Linked DNA regions of Callithrix jacchus. The main gene of each other region encodes a partner of the protein of the gene in region 3 in a complex. Links are inferred from orthologs where the notes say so. Each region holds a gene or a part of one and is shown on either strand. Other genes may lie near its edges.

Region 1 (5,238 bases), on a different chromosome or scaffold from region 3:
AAGGACAGTAGAAAGAACAGGGGTCCTGGCTGCAAGGGTTCCTCTTGTAGCTCTGTGTCCTCACAGAAGTCCCAGAGCCAGAGGGCCAGTCCCTGGACAGATGGCTCTGAGGGCAGTACAGACACAGAGCGGACAGTGAGTGGCCTGGCCCCGCTTCCCCATCTCCACCCTACATGTGTTTTGTTCCTCGTGGTCCCCGTGAGCAAGGGAAGACCCATGGTCATAGCCGCAGCCCGCAGTGGTTAAGAAGGGGAGGTGTGTGCCCCTGCCACAGAGCCATGCTCAGTAGGCTGGGCCTGGCCCTGTTTTCTGTCACCCAATTCCAGGCTTGGAGGGCTCAGCTATGCCAGGGTTGGTTCTGGGCTGAAATACCTTCTCCTGGAAGGCACTGGGGGGACAGGGACAGGAGGACTGTAGAGGGAATGTCACAGGTGTGCCCCAAGGCCCCAAAGCCCTTGTGTGAGACCTGGCTGGTAAGCTTGTTAAAACCCAAGCCCCTCTTCCGGGCCCCATCTCCACCTGCCGTTGCTGGGTCTCCAGCTGTCCCATGCCCCACCCCCAGAAGCTATGGCACACAGACCTTCCTGGAACTGGTAACAGCCCTCTGTGTGAAATTAGAGGGCCCCAACATTCCCTGCTCTACCATCACCTCCACTCTCGGTGGTCTGAGGCAGGCCACGCCTGGCCTACACTGTGCTGGGAGCCCACCCCCATCCACCCACACAGCTCTGTTCTTGGCCTGCTGGGCTCGGGAGAGCTCTCTCTGCTGCCCAGGGCCTGAGTCACACCTGTAACATTTGAATGGGCACATCTCCATGTAGAAAAAATGCTTTCTTTTGCCTGGTGGTTCTGAGTTCCTAGATCTGAGGTGCCAAAGCTCTGGGGAAATGGAAAGTGGGTGCAGAAAGACTAGGTGCTGTGGGCCCCTCCTTTCCTAGCCCATGCCTCCTGCCCCTCCACTAACGTCCTGCTTCTACTTTCCCTACAGGTGGAGGACCACGCATAGGACCAGGACAGCCAAGAGGAAGCAGGATCTCCTCCAGGCTCATCAGCTCCGGGCGTTCTGGGGTAGGTCCTTGCCTTGCCTAGGTTGTGAAGGCCTCCTGGTAGCACCCATGCAACCTGAGATACCCGTTCTGGAGCTGGGTCAATAGAAGAGAACACAGGGCTTGGCCAGAAAAGCGGAAGGTTCACTGTTGCAGCAGGTTTAGCTTCTTAGGAGGTTACATTTCACGATGACAGCCATGGGACTGACAGCGTTAGGAGGGAGGTAGCCTGGGACTGTACCAGGTCGCCATCCTCATGAAGCTGAGGCTGTCTTCCAAGGGACAGCTGACAGCCCACCCCCACCCCACCCCAGCACTCAGGGGCAATCCTCAGTCCTGAGTGCAGACACGGCCACAGCTGCTCTTCACTCCCCTCTGGATGCACCAACAGCCAACAGATTTCCCTGGGATCCCAGTCTCCCTCCCTGCCCGAAACAGCCGGAAGGTCCTCGGCGTACACCCCACACCACCCTCTTGGGGCTCCAGACTCGTCATCCACTCTCCAAAGCCATCCTTCAGAATAACATGAGCTGTCTCCACTGGTGTGATACCATTTCAGACCTGCTCTGGAAAGGTAAGTCAAAAGGGAAAAAATAAAATTCATAAATCTTTTTCCTGGTCAAGGCTTCTTGGTGTGGCTCCAGAAACTCATTCTGGTCCTTGGGCTGCCCGGCACCGGCCCTTCCCCGAGAAGCCGAGTGCAGAGACCGGACCAGGCTGCCCTGCCTTCTCAATGGCAGTCACCTGGCTGCGTCCAGAGCAGCCTTGAGACCAGACCAGCAGATCTGGGAGCCACACAGGAAAGACCCCACCCTCGTGGTGAGTCAGGCCGGTTCTGCCCTATGGAGCAGCCAAGCCGTACCTGGCTTTCCTGGCAGTTCACCTGCCCTCTCTGGGCGTTGCTCAGGGTTTTCCTCCTAGGACCAAGGCACCACGTGAAGACGGCCCAGGACACCACTTCCCACCGGCTGTGGAGGCCTCTGGTTGTGCCGTTCTCCACATGGCCAAGGACAGATCTGGCTTCCACCCAGAGCAAAACCCATTCCAGCTACCCAGCCGAGTTGGGTCTTGCCCAGTACCAAACCAGGGTGGGGGGCTGGGGTGCACTCAGCGCGCCGCTGGGGCCATACAACTCTTCCTACTTTTGTCATATCTCAGCAGCTGTCCTGTCTCTGGTTCGTGTGGGGGCAGCTTCTCCTTCTATAAAGCACAGGGCCCACATCCAGTCCTGCAGCTGTTCTTTGCAGCCTATCTGTCCCGTTCAAGTTGGTCTAAGGAACGGGACCGGTTAAAGGCACCGCGGTCACGGCCCCTTGCCACCTGGGATGTAAGAACAAAGAAGCCGTGCTCTCTAAAATCCTGGACCAAGAAGAATCACAACAGAAGACGCTTTTCAGATATAGAAGTGTTTTTCTTTTGGCTCAGACACGGTGAGAAGGCACAGCCTCTTGTCCAACCTCTCAAAAGTCGCCCAGTTACGTCAGAGGGAGTCTCTGGCTGGCGGTGCAAAGGATCTATCCCTTAAATGACTACAGTTCCCAGATACCAGCTTCCAGGTAAGTTCCAAGTTTCCAGCCTGGAAGTCAGGCTGCGCTCACAGGTGTTCTCAACTGGGTCGCAGCTGAGAGCCGGCTAAAGGAGGAAAGTTCCTTTAATGAGGTTTGTAAAAAGCCCTTCCACCACCACAGCTGTCTGGCGCCTCGGCTCTGTTTCAGCCTCTCCAGGTGCTCTCCGGGGCTCCTGCTGCATATCTCGATGCAGGCTCGAGGCCCACGGCACGGGTCTCGGCGTGGCGTCCGTCGTTGTTCAGGGCGGGGCGGCGCCCCTGCGACGGGCAGCCCGCACCAGGCACTGCTGCAACACTGGATAGAGGCGCTGGCAGCCCTCGAGGCCAAGGCGTACGGCCTCCGCCCAGCTCTCGGTCAGGCCACCCTCCCCGCTACCCAGCAGCCCAGCCACCTGATTCAGGACGGGCATGAGTGCCACAGTGAGACCGGCGGCGGCGCGCTCCTCCTCGAGCCGCGTGGGGTCCAGTAGCCAGGTGGACGCGGGCCCCGGAGCGAGGCTCAGGCCGCAGCCCACCACCAGGTCGTACATCTCCACGCCCGCATCGGCCAGGGCGAGCGCAGCGGCGGTGAGCGCGGCGGCCAGGGCTGAGCCCCCGTCCTCCAGCAGCAGCGCAGACACCTCGAGCTGTGCACGCGGGTATCGGCCCAGGCGCACCGCTGGCTCCAGCGCCTCCTGCAGCGCCAGCGCCAGCTCACGCTCCTCACCGCCGCCCTGGGGAGCGCGGCGCCGGCGCCCCGCGAAGGGGGCGCGGCGGAAATCGCAGAGCAGTCGACCACGCAGCGCGGCCGGGGCCTCGCCACCCGCTCCGGCCGGGCCGCCCCCGCGCTCGCCGCCCTCGGCCTGGCGCGGGCCCGACACCGCGCACAACACCTTGGTGCCTCCTGCCTCCAGGTAGGCTGAGCCCTTGGCTTGGCTCAGCAACCCCGCGCGAGCGTACACGGGTCGCAGCCGCGTCGGGTCGCGAGCGGCGGGCGCATCCTCTTCGTCGGCCGCGTACAGCTGCGGCGGCTGTGATTCCTCCGGGCCGCGTATACGGCGGTGGTCCCCAGGCATCACGGCGCCTGGCGTGCGACCTGCTTCCGGCCGCTGCTCCACCACGCACACCAGCTCTTCCGCTGCTTAAAGATGCGCGCCTGCGCGAAGGATGTCGGGGAGCAGCCGGCTTCGCTATAGCGCCCTCTGAAGGCCTGGAGGGAGAACGGCCGGCGTCCTCAAAGCCTTGGTGCCGCTAGTGCAGGGCATGTGGCGTTCATACATACAACGGGGGCGGGGGGCGGCAGTTAGAAGAAAGAGGCTTCTCTGCTTCCACCCCTCATTTTCTGTTGAATTATGAACACCTCCCTCTATGTCACCTATTTGGCTTCCATCGCCACAAACGGTTGAGGCAACCACAGGGGCTACTCCCAAAATTCAGAGTTCTGGGGCTAGACAGTGAATACAGCAGCAGCCAGCAGGAGTCACAGCATTTATTCTAGACAGCAGGGGCCACAGGCTGTGGAAACGGCGCGCCCCCATTGGGAATGGGTAGAGATCCTGCGGCGTCAATTATTGCACATGGTCCTTTATTCTCTGCAGCGAAAATGATTCCCATTTGCTAACCCAGACAGCTCAGGTCTGGAGAGCTGTCCGCTCCAGATGCCTATCGATGCACAACAGCAATGCTGGGGTACTCAGGGCAGACATATAAGGAATACTGGGTCACAGGACCTCTTCCAGTTACCGTGGGGTTAGGAAGATGGTGGGAGCTCTTTAAAGGTCCCAAGATTCTAATGTTCTTAGAGCAGAGGAGGAACTCCTGGCTGGACCTATGGATCCAGTGCCAAACTCCTCCTTCCCCACCTCAGTTCTTCACATCCCCGAGGTGCAGCTGGGCAAAGGAAGTGGCCAGCTGCAGCGCCTCCTGCAGGCAGCCAACGTTCTTGCCTGTGGCCTGCGCAGACACATCCTTGCCACCACCCTTACCATCCATCAGGCCTGATACCTGCTGCACCCACTCGCTGGCTTTTAGGCCCCTATTGGCTGCATTCTGGAAGAAAAGAAGGGAAGGGGGAGTTAGGACACAAGATAAATGAGGAATGGAGGAAAAGAAATGCAGGAGCCATCCCCCACTCCTGCCCAGGGTGGTGATGCTGGCAGCCGAGACACGCTTAACAGCTGGTAAAGGGGGAAGTCATAGCCACAGCCAGGAAAGGACAGAGTGGCAAAGCCAAGTATCAACCAGACATCTTCACCAATGAGAAGGCCGGGGTAAAGGGCAACAGGTGTCTAGTTTCAAATGCCGATTGTGAACACACAGGCCTCAGGAATAAGCTTAAGACCTACACTGCCCCCCTGGTGTGAAAGGTCGTAGGCAGTTCTGACCTGGGGGACTTGACACAGGCACGTGATTTTGCCAGCCTCATTATCCACAGTGAAGAGCATGGCAGACGTCTGAGGGGAGTGCATCTTGAAGAGCTTCAAAGCTTCATTCAGGGCCTGCGGGGGGTGGGAAGAGCTGGCTCAGGCCACGGTGCTGGAGCAGGTACCCTGCTCTCCACTCAGGTGAGAGCCTGCAGTCCACAGCAAGACCGCCACACACCCCCAACCCCACCCAAGCGTGCCCCACACATGCAAGGAGCTGCTC
Region 2 (5,540 bases), on a different chromosome or scaffold from region 3:
ACTCAGGAGGCTGAGGCAGGAGAATTGCCTGAACCCAGGAGGTGGAGGTTGCGGTGAGCTGAGATCACGCCATTGCACTCCAGCCTGGGTAACAAGAGCGAAACTCTGTCTCAAAAAAATTTAAAAAATAAAAAATAAAATAAAAAAATAGGCCTCCTAATCATCCTCTGGCATCCTGTTTCCCAGACGCAGGTAGAAACTATATATTCTGGGAATCAACTAAGTGAAGGAACTAAACATGCCTGAACTTGGCTGCCTTGATTATTATCCTAGAAATGGATAGACCAACACAGTCCAGTAAAACTTTGTGTCATGATAGAAAAGTCATGTGCTGACCAGTACAGCAGCCATTAGCCACTGAAATGTGGCTAATGTGACCAAGGAAATAAATGTTTTTCATGTGCTGACCAGTATAGCAGCCATCAGCCTCAAGTGGCTACTGAGTACTTGAAATGTGGCTAATGTGACTAAGGAAATAAATGTTTTTTTTTGTTTGTGTTTGAGAGACAGGGTCTTGCCCTGTCACCCAGGCTGAAGCAATCATGGCTCACTGCAGCTTCAACCCCCTGGGCTCAAGTGATCCTCCTGCCTCAGCCTCCCAAGTAGTTAGGACCACAGGCATGTGCTACCATGCCTGACTAATTTTGATTCTTTTTGTAGAGATGAGGTTTCACTGTTTCCCAGGATAGTCTTGAACTCTAGGCTGAAGCAATCCTCCTGCCTTGGCCTCTGAAAGTGCTAGATGCAGTATGAGCCACTGCACCCAGCCAGAAATAAATTTTTAATACTGTTTAAGTAGCCATATGTAGCTTGTGGCTATCATACTGGACACTGCAGTTCTAGCATGATCATGATTTCAGTATTGAAAGGGCATTCAAAGCATGGAGGTTAGAACCGTCTTACCTTACAGGTTACAATAGCTCCCACATCTGGCAGTAATTGGGACTCTGTTTCTCTCATTACAGACACCACAGGAAGCTACAGAGGGAACAACAAAAAACTGAAATGTCCTGGCTAACCCTTGGGTCAAGGCATTTGTGGCTTGAGAGTAACATAGGAATGCCTTAGTACACAGTTGAGAGTTGGAGTACAGATTCATTTATAGCCCAGAGCAGAAGACATTAGAAACTTTAGGAAATAGTAGGAAAAAGAGGTTACAGAATGCTGCTAAGACATAAATCTCACTATTCTAGATGAGTTCTAGTAAGTTTTTTGGTGATTCTCTTGGAATTTCTTGGTATACAACTATATACTGCCTATAATCATGGATAATTTTTTTCTTTTTTTTTTTTGAGATGGAGTTTCACTCTTGTTGCCCAGGCTGGAGTCCAGTGGCACGATCTCGGCTCACTGCCACCTCCGCCTCCTGAGTACAAGTGATTCTCCTGCCTCAGCCTCCTGAGTAGCTGGGATTACAGGCACGCGCCAACATGCCCAGCTAATTTTTTGTATTTTTAGTAGAGACGGGGTTTCACCATGTTGACCAGGATGGTCTCGATCTCTTGACCTCGTGATCCACCCGCCTCGGCCTCCCAAAGTGCTGGGATTACAGGCTTGAGCCCCCGCCTGGCTGAAATTCCCACAAAAATGTTACATAATAGTGGCCATGCTTGTTTTCTTCTATTTTAAGTGAATAGCTGCATTTGCTCTTTGAGCATGGTATTGGCTGTTGGTGTAAGACAGATAGTTTGAACCTCATCTTTTATCAATCTCTCCCTTGGTCATGATGCTTCAGCTCTCCTGGCCTTCTTTCAGTTTCTCTGACTTACTAAATTCTTCCCACTTTTGGATCTCTCTTCAACCCGTTCTTTCTACCAGAACTACACTCTCTCCACCCACCCAACTCTTACTTACTCTTTAGATGATTCAGCTTAAATGTCACTTCTGCTGACTAGGGTGGGTTTGGTTGTTACATGTTTTCAAGGTGCCCTGTAATATTCTTTTAAGCAGTCACCAAATATGTAACCATATACAATTTAAGCATTTATTTTACAATTTGTGTCTGTGTCCTTTGATAGCAGAAACCAAGTCAGCGCTGTGCCTGACACATGAAAACACTCAGATGGTATCTGTGAAGTGAAGAAACTCAGGACTGTTAAGGACATTCCCAAGAATGACTGAATAGAAAGCCCCTTGAATCAGACAGCTTAATTTACTTACTCAAAGCAGAATCAAGGTCTAGTTAGCTAGAACCTATGTGTTCTAATTCTGAATCCTCTATTGTGCTCCTTCAAATATTGCTTATGCGATCCTGAGCTAATCCTAGATCAATTTCTGATTTTTTTTTTTTTGAGACGGAGTTTCGCTTGTGTTACCCAGGGGCTAAAGTGCAATGGCGCTATCTCGGTTCACTGCAACCTCCGCCTCCTGGATTCAGGCAATTCTCCTGCCTCAGCCTCCTGAGTAGCTGGGATTACAGACATGCGCCACCATGCCCAGCTAATTTTTTGTACTTTTTAGTAGAGACGGGGTTTCACCATGTTGACCAGGATGGTCTCGATCTCTTGACCTCGTGATTCACCCGCCTCGGCCTCCCAAAGTGCTGGGATTAGAGGCTTGAGCCACCGCGCCCAGCCCGATCAATTTCTAAAACTAGAAAGTTTGGTATTATGCATTCAACAAACATTTATTGAGGAGCTGCCTTGTGCTAGATACTGAATGTATGGTGGTAGGGCCTGCTTTCATGGAACTTAGATTCAAGCAGTGGAGAAGTCTGGTGGGAATCATATACCTGAGTTTCTAATCATATGCTGACATAAATGCTTGGAATAAAAGGAACAGAGGTCTTTGTGAGTCTTAAACAAAACAAACAAAAACAAAACACCCCACAAAACCCCTTTCCTCAATTAGTGGGTCCAGAAGGGCTTCTCTGAGAAGTTGATAGTACAGAAGCTATCTAAAGGAGGTAGGAATTAAATGGGCCTAGGAAGACAGAAGCGTTCCAGATAGATGAATGTTACAAAGGCTCTGTAGCAGGAGAAAGCTTGGCACCTTAGCGACATTGAGAGAAGCTAGTATGTTATAAATTTTTTAAAAAAGGGCAAGCAGAGACTGTGATTATAAATTTTAAAAACAGAAAAGACAGTATGACTAGATTGCGTCAGTGAGGTGGAGATAGTGGCGCAAGATAAAGCCGGAGAGATAAGCGACATTCATACAGTATGCAACTCACTGCTGGGCTGGGCTGGGTTACTGAGTTCACATCTGCTTTTGTCCCAACCTCCCTCCCCAAGAGTCAGCAGCACAACCAAGCGAGATCAACACAACTAGTTTGTGGTGTCCAAGTGCACAACGGCGGCGATCACGGCTAGAAGAAACTAAGACCAAGGTTGTACCGGTGAGGCACTAAAGACACGTCCGCAGTGGCCATGCCTAAGGACTGGAACTTAATGAAAGCCTAAGTGAAAAGAGAGAGAGGAGACGGCAAGCCGCTCCCTTTACCGCGCCGTTCTCGCTGCTCTTCATCAGGCAGCCGGCAAGCGACGAAAAGATGTAACCGTGGCGGGTGTAGGTGCCACTGCCCGGGCTGCCCTCCTCCAAGTTACACAGACGTTCGCCTGCAGAAAAAATGCTCTATCAGTCACTGGCCCCCAGAAGCTATAGGCCGTCCAGCCTTCCAGCTTCGACCTCTTTCCAGGACTCTACGGGAAGCGCTCTCTTACCGGGAATGCAGTATCTGACGGGTGGCGCCATGATTGCCGCTGTCCAAACCCGGATGGAAACGAAGTCGACTTCTCATTGGCCAAACCCAGGCACAGTTCCGCAGTAAGACTTGCGTCAATTGGTGTTCTTTATCACGTGATCTGTAGGAGCGCCTCCTTGCGGGTAAACTCAATTTCCCAGATTACCCCGGGACAAATCCGGGGGCGGAACTTCAGAGCTCCACGCTTGCGACTGCGCCTGTGGTTGAGGATGGGCTGGCGGCGGGTCCGGTTGCGCTGGCTGGCGCTGCGGGCTGCGTGCCATGGTGGGTTGGATTGAGCCCGGCCCGGCCGGGGCGCCGAGTCAGAAGGGGTGGCAGTGAGCGGCGGCAGAGGCTGCGGGGCTCGGTTTGGCTGACTGGGGAGTCGGCAGGCGGCAGGTAAGGGCGAAGCCTCGGCCCTTGCTCCCAATCCTAGTCCCTTTTTTTGGGTCGGGCACTGCCCTGAGGCCTTGTCTTGAGTCCGGGTTCCTGCTCTCTCCCCGCCCCGCCCTGCGGGGCCGTGTCTTCCTCCGCCGGAGCACACCTTCCGAGCAACCGTTAGGCATAGAGCCGGAAGGAAGGAGGTCAAGCGACCCCCTCCATTTCACAGATAGGGAACCTCAGATTCAGAGACAGGGTTTGGCTTGTCCAAAATCTTGAAGATAGTTAAGATAGAGCCCAAACTGGAACCCACGGTTTTTGACTTACAGACCGTCGCAGTTTCACCTCGTGGCTCTCATTGAGAAATAAAACCTTTTCCTGTTTGTTTGTTTGTTTTTTTAAATATATACGGGGTCTCGCTCTGTCGCCAGGCTGGAGTGTAGTGGCGTGATCTCGGCTCACTGAAATCTACGCCCCCTGGGTTCAAACAGTTCTGCCTCAGCCTCCCAAGCAGCTGGGATTACAGGCGTGTGTCACCGTGCCTGGCTAATTTTTGTACTTAGAGACAGGGTTTCACCTTGTTGGCCAGCCTGGTCCCGAACTCTTGGTCTCAGGTGATCCACCCGCCTCGGCCTCCCAAGGTGTTAGGATAACAGGCGTGAGCCACCGCGCCTGGTCCTTTTCCCGGTTTTTTAAACCGCAGCTTTCAGTCCTGCGTTCTGATCCTCTTCACGGCCCCCCATCCCTACTTCAGTGAGCTTTCTCAGGTTGAAAAAGTCGAGCTCTGGTTGTGTGGGCCCCTCATGAAAAGATGAGCAGCCCCAAAATAAAGTTGCTATTCTTTTTCTTCTCAGCGTGTTAGCCCAGAAGGGAGATCTGCACATGAATAAAATGCTACTCTTCATTGATGTCTGGTATCTCCTACTTGGAATTGCAAACATCCTAAGAGCAGCGTCTTTGATCTCAGTTGTTCACCTGACTTCTGATGGCGTTTGCCGTGTGTCCCTGTTCCCTCAGTCGACTTTCCCCTTGGGAAACAGATGGTGACTTAGAGCCATGGGAAGAAGGGAGGCTGTGGCCTGTAGTCTCCTCCAGTCTGGTGGCAGATCATGACTATGGCCTGTGGTGACTACTCTGAGGGATCACAGTACTCGGGGCTTCTGCTTGGGGTGGTAGTGAGGCTACACTTTGCCCTTCTTCCCCCCACACATCTTTCTGAATTTTGCTTTACCTCAGTGTCCTGAGATGAAAAGTCTATGTGTTCAGTTGTAGCCCACTTACTACATATATCATTTTCCTGGCATCCCCTACCCCATTAGCTAAAGGGGAGAGGCCCTAGCCTCAGACTTTGTTCACCTAAATCTGTATCTATGCATTTAGGAGTTTTTTATTTTTCTTCTTATTTTTTTTTTGAGATGGAATTTTGTCCCTCTTGCCCAGGCTGGAGTGCAATGGCATGATCTGACTCTCCACAACC
Region 3 (5,596 bases):
GGCCCCTAAATATAAGTCAACCAGTTCATCTAATAATGCTCAATCCACAAGAGTCATCAATTCTATTCTGGAAAACCAGGCTAGGGTATGTTCTTACTGACAGATGTTTCAATAGAGGGAATGTAAGAGATTTCAAGGGCAATTTTCACGATGTGCAGTTTTAGTCTTATGAACAAATTTTAGAACCAACCAAGTTGCCATTTGCAACATAACTTCACTAAAAGCAAGTTGCCTACACATTTAGGACAATCCTCATTCATTCATATCAAGGATCCTGATCACATAAGAGCTTACCAGTGTTACTTCATCTCCTTGGACAGAGACATCAGGTCTTCGGAAGTGACATAAGGCCACGATTGCAGCAACGCTGGCAGCATCAATAATATTTCCATCATGATTTAATAAATGTAGGTCTACACGTATTTGCCAAACCTGAAAGTGAATTTTAAAAAAATAAATCCTGATTACAATGAGTGGCTATTTATCAGGAAAAGTAACGTCGTGTACAAATTTTTTCTTGCTTTAAAACAGGCAGTTACTCCTTCTAGTTCGTCAACAAAAAAATACATTTTAGAAATTTTAAGTCAAACATCTGAAATACTGTGTGAGTCATTTAACAACAGTAAAACACATACTTTAAATAAACAGAACCACTCTAACACTTAATACTAAGATTTTCCTAACCTCAAATCTAATGATACTTTTATCATGTGTGTTAATTTAAAAACCACAAACCCTAGGCCAGGCACAGTGGCTTACACCTATAATCCCAGCACTTTAGGAGGCCAAGGTGGGAGAACTGCTTGAGCCTAGGAGTTTGAGACCTGCCTGGGCGACACAGCAAGACCTTATTTCCACAAAAAGAAAAAAATGTTTTTTAATTAGCCAGGTGAAATGGCATGCACTGTAGTCCTAGCTATTTGGGAGGCTAAGGCAAGAGGATCCCTTGAGCCCAGGAGTTTAAGGTTACATTGAGATATGATGACACCACTGCACTCCTGCCTGGAAAAGAGTGTCACCCTATCCCTAAGAGAAAATAATAAATAAAAAATTTTTAAAAGTTAAACTTTTAGGTTTTGTGATATTTTTAATAAGGGTACAAGTAATGCAAATAGGAAGTATTATACTTAGGTATGGAATATGGAAAGCTAAATGATTTCTGTGGAGTAAAAAGCTTGTCAAAATACCTTAATCAAGAATCAAATTCTGGCCAGGTACAGTGGCTCATCCCTGTAATCTCAGCATTTTGGGAGGCTGAGGCAGGTGGATCACTTGAGGTCTGGAGTTCAAGACCAGCCTGACCAACATGGTGAAACCCTGTCTCCATTAAAAATACAAAAATTAGCTGAACGTGGTGGCAGGTGCCTGTAGTTCCAGCTGCTCGGAAGGCTTGAACAGGGGAGGCAGAGGTTGCAGTGAGCTGAGATTGCACCACTGCAGTCCAGCCTGGGCAACAGAGGGAGACTCTGTCTCAAAATAATAATAATAATAATACAATTCTAATATCCGAATGCAGCACAATTTACTGGGACTAAGATTTCCAAAGTTATCCCTGCTACTGACATGATGTGGCCCTGTGTAAATCGATAAACCTATCAAAATGAGTGATTTCATCTGTTCTTGAGTTCTGCATGAAAAAAGAAAACTACCTGCTTCTATGAACTCATGTAGGTAACATAAGAAAATACATGAGAGATTATATGAAAAAGCCACAAGTTCTTTAAATAAAATATTTTACACACAAATCTAAGTTACTATTTTTACCCTTTAAAGATAAAGCTTTTTGTCCCTTCAGAGAGAGAGAGATGGCACAAAGTTCTAAGGGTATCACATCTGAAGTGAAGTGAACCAGTACAAAACTGAGTTAACGAAAGTTCTGAGAATAAAAACAGACACTGGGATCCGTGAATCAACAATATTTATCCTAAGATTAAGAATTTTGGGCATATTCTCCATTCCATGTGATTTGGGGTTAAAAAAAAAAAAGAAATTTGGGCATATTCCCCACCTTTTCGCCAGCAACAACACAGAGAGATTCAGTGTCTATACACTTCGAATTTCTTAGACATCTTTCCAAGAGTCGATTCAACTTCACCAAGAGATCTGACTGCCTATAATAGGAAAATAGGACGGGGCTAATGTCATGAAATACAACACCAGGTATTCAAAAAAAAAAAAAAAAAAAAAGGTCACTACTGTGAGGTCCTCCTATGACTAAAGTAGCTTAAGAAAAAGATTTAAATACCTGCCAGGTTCAAAAGCTGGAGCGGCCATCTGAGAGAGTTCAAGGTTAAAAAAAAGAATACCTTCTGTTGCCCTATTGAGTTTTGGAGCCACAAGTTCACAGGAAACCTGTCCAAGAACTCTGAAAAGATAAAGGAACAAAGTATTAACTAAATAGATCTTCCTTCCAAAAAAAAAAAATCTGAAACAGCAGGTTTCAACCTTACTGAGTAATATCACACTCAGCCAAATATATCATAGGAGATATAATTATATATAAAGTATAATATACACAGAAATAAAACATAAATTGATACACCTAAAAACACAACAGAAAAAAAATCTTATTACAATGTTTACTATTCCACAGATTGTTTTAAAAATCAATGACCTTTACCTCTAAAGCAAGTATTTATTGATACAAGATGGCATGAAAACTTGAGATTTCTTAAGGGTTTTCACATGGCATCGTTCACCACTATTATCTAACCAAATAGTCTCACAACTTTAAAATGAATATCAGAAAACCTAATTTTCATGTCACTCAGGAAAAAGAGGAAAGCAGGATGTATACTTAATGACAAGATGCTCAAGATCTCTATACTAGTATGAGAAACAAATTCAGTGTGGTCACTACTGGTTGTCTATACGATGTATAGAAGTCAGAAAGAACTATGTGATACGTGACAGAAAATAGGTTTATGATTACAAATTTCAATAGTGACCACAAAACCAAAAAATCTTGCATAAAAAAATACTTACTTTTGTCAGCTCAACAAAGGATACCGTCCAGACTTCTTAGCTGGTTTATAAACATATGTCTTTTTAAAAACTTCTCCCTTTTGAATGTATATATTATTTAAATTCTGTTACCTTGTTTTTCCAAGTTCCACAATGCAACATCCGTAATCGGTTCCAAATGAGATCCTGATGTTCCGATAATCATAGGTTTGTCTGCCATCCAGCCGCTGTAAGCACAAATTCATTCATTTATTCCTTCAACAAGTATTTCTTAAGCAATTACTTTTTCTGGCTCTGGGCTAAGCACTTGGAGGAAAGTGAAATCCTAACCATCCCGCCCATATAGAAAAGCGGAAACTACAGCACAGACAACTGCTGGGAGCCTTGAAAAGAACCTGTCGAAAAAACAATAATAAAGCCTGAGGGTTGGGGTGCACCCGCCGGTCGCTCCCCTAGTTGCTCCCCCGGCCCAGGCGGACCGGGTTATGAGTTCACACCTTGGCGCCCAAGCAGCGCGCCAATTCTGCAGGGACCAAACCATACCTTCTTCTCTTCGATGGCACGGAGTAGGAAGCGGCGCTCGCAGTTTGAAAGTGGCGTTTCCTTCATGGTGTTGGGTCCCGGGTCCCACTGGCACTAAAATCCGCGGGGGAAACGGAACGTGACTCCTGAAGCGCCGCTGCCGGTCCCGCGGCGCAGAAAATTTACGTCATCGAAGCGCGGCGGCGGAAAATGAGAAAGCAAGGGCTCTGGCCTTCGCTACTGCGCAGACTCTTAACAGTGAATAGGGCAAGCCAATGCCCCTTATGGTGGCTGTTTTTGAACGTGAAGTTTCGTTTCTTTGCTCATAAAGTGCGGAGGAGAAAAGGAAACTTACAATAACCATCAGAGTGATAGAAATTAATATCAGTAGACCGCTCTCACACTCCACCTTTCGCTCAGTCCTTTCTCGGGGTGGAGACTAGACAGATACTATTGCTATTTTACAGATGAATTAACATTGGCCCCTAGAAAGCCGCAGATGCAGGGTTCGGAGCAGATTCAATGAACGAGCACTGGAATGAGGGGGTATACGGGATGGTGGAGAAAGTTGACATGGTGAAACGGGATGTTATTGCTGCCAAAGGTGAAATCTTGTGGGATCTGAAAAGCTGACGAGAATAGAGAACGTTTGCACGTAATAACTAATGGCGTTACTGCTACTGTGGACGAAACTAAGTATACGTTTATTATCCGCTCCCCAGCTATTTGAAGTTGATAGACTTATTTTTACGGTCACAGAGAAACAGCGGGGCCATGCTGCCAACCACTCAGCTTTTTTGGAGAGGCAGTATCAAATAATAGTTTTAATAAGTGTTCCTTGCCAGGGTTCAAATTGTAAGTCTATTGTTAACTACTATAACCCTGGGCAAGTTGACCTATGTGCTTCACATTACTCACCTGCAAAAAAAAAAAAAAAAAGTGGGGGAATGCGAATGAGAAACCTGTGTATTATGAGGGATAAAAATGAGTTTTTATATATACATATAACGCTTAGAACAGTGCCTGGCATGGAGTAAGCACTATTTAAGTGTTTGCATATTATTATTTTGTTTCCTTTTGCTTTAGAGGGTGGTAGGCACTGTAACTCCTATGCAGGCTCTTAGGCTTCTTTGTAGCTTCTCACATTTTTTTTTTTTTTTTTTTTTTTTTTAGCAGTGATACATCTTAGTCTCACTTTGTACTACCATGTACTCAATAAATACTTGAAGAGGGCCTACTGTGTCCAGGAATAATTTGAGTGCTGGAGAAATGAGGTAGACAAGATCCCTTCTGTCAAGGAATTTATATTCTTTTTGGAAGAGACAAAAAAACCCTAAACCAAATAGAACAATTTCATACAGTGGTAAGTCTATCTGAGAATAGGAATGCTATCTTAATAGGGGTAGTTGCAGGAACAGGTGACTTTGTAGAGGTGACATTTAAGTAAAATAAATCTTTGATGTTAAGCAGGAGCAACTTTGATGCCATCTGGAGGAGAGGAAAAGTGTTTCAAGCAGAAAGAGTAACACATGCAAAAATGAGATGGGATGCGGGCTCCACATGGTCTGGAGATAGAAATTGTGAAGAAGGAGGAAAGTAGACAGAAATGATTAATTTTCAGAATCGTCAAGATTACAGTGTACAAACCACTTAAATTCTTTAACAATTTTTTTAGTGCAGTTCCACACCAAAACTCCTGATTGATAAATTCTTCATTTAAATCCTTGGGTTCTTTCAGTGGCAGTTTGATAAATTTTCCCTTCAGTGATGAAATAGAACTTTATTGAAATAGTCTGTTATTTCCTGCAAGGCAGCTTGGTAGTGGAAAGAGAATGGACTTTGACTTCAGATAAACTTCAGCTCAAATGGACTTGGAGTAAGCTAAATAATCTTTCTGATTTTGGGGTTCTGTATCTTCAGGTTGGAGATAATAATTATGCTGTGTTAAGTGGTCTGAATGAAAGCATCTAATTAAACATTTTGGACATTGTAGCTATTCAGATGTTAGTTTCCTCTTTCCTTGTTGGTTTGGCGAAGGTTCCCATGAAACTGCCCAAACTCAGCATGACAGATTGCTTTTCTGAGACTGCTGCTTGATTACTTTGCTTTC

Evidence for each region. The genes of interacting proteins can lie anywhere in the genome.
Region 1: EXOSC9 (region 3) and EXOSC6 share a complex: the UniProt entries of both Homo sapiens proteins name them as parts of the RNA exosome core complex. The link is inferred for Callithrix jacchus from reciprocal best matches to the Homo sapiens genes EXOSC9 and EXOSC6.
Region 2: EXOSC9 (region 3) and EXOSC1 share a complex: the UniProt entries of both Homo sapiens proteins name them as parts of the RNA exosome core complex. The link is inferred for Callithrix jacchus from reciprocal best matches to the Homo sapiens genes EXOSC9 and EXOSC1.

The regions. Positions count from the first base shown.
Region 1 is NC_133521.1:31,651,383-31,656,620, reverse strand, and holds EXOSC6 (exosome complex component MTR3), read right to left. Parts: upstream 3,714-5,238; 5' UTR 3,669-3,713; coding exon 2,853-3,668; 3' UTR 1,190-2,852; downstream 1-1,189. Other genes in the region: AARS1 (alanine--tRNA ligase, cytoplasmic), read right to left, coding at 4,456-4,641, 4,977-5,090. UniProt on the Homo sapiens protein: Non-catalytic component of the RNA exosome complex which has 3'->5' exoribonuclease activity and participates in a multitude of cellular RNA processing and degradation events.
Region 2 is NC_133513.1:90,265,125-90,270,664, forward strand, and holds the start of EXOSC1 (exosome complex component CSL4), read right to left. Parts: upstream 3,714-5,540; 5' UTR 3,694-3,713; coding exon 3,663-3,693; intron 3,558-3,662; coding exon 3,442-3,557; intron 979-3,441; coding exon 904-978; intron 1-903. Other genes in the region: palmitoyltransferase ZDHHC16, read left to right, coding at 5,049-5,188. UniProt on the Homo sapiens protein: Non-catalytic component of the RNA exosome complex which has 3'->5' exoribonuclease activity and participates in a multitude of cellular RNA processing and degradation events.
Region 3 is NC_133504.1:75,882,849-75,888,444, forward strand, and holds the start of EXOSC9 (exosome complex component RRP45), read right to left. Parts: upstream 3,673-5,596; 5' UTR 3,574-3,672; coding exon 3,508-3,573; intron 3,192-3,507; coding exon 3,097-3,191; intron 2,366-3,096; coding exon 2,246-2,365; intron 2,112-2,245; coding exon 2,009-2,111; intron 433-2,008; coding exon 295-432; intron 1-294. UniProt on the Homo sapiens protein: Non-catalytic component of the RNA exosome complex which has 3'->5' exoribonuclease activity and participates in a multitude of cellular RNA processing and degradation events.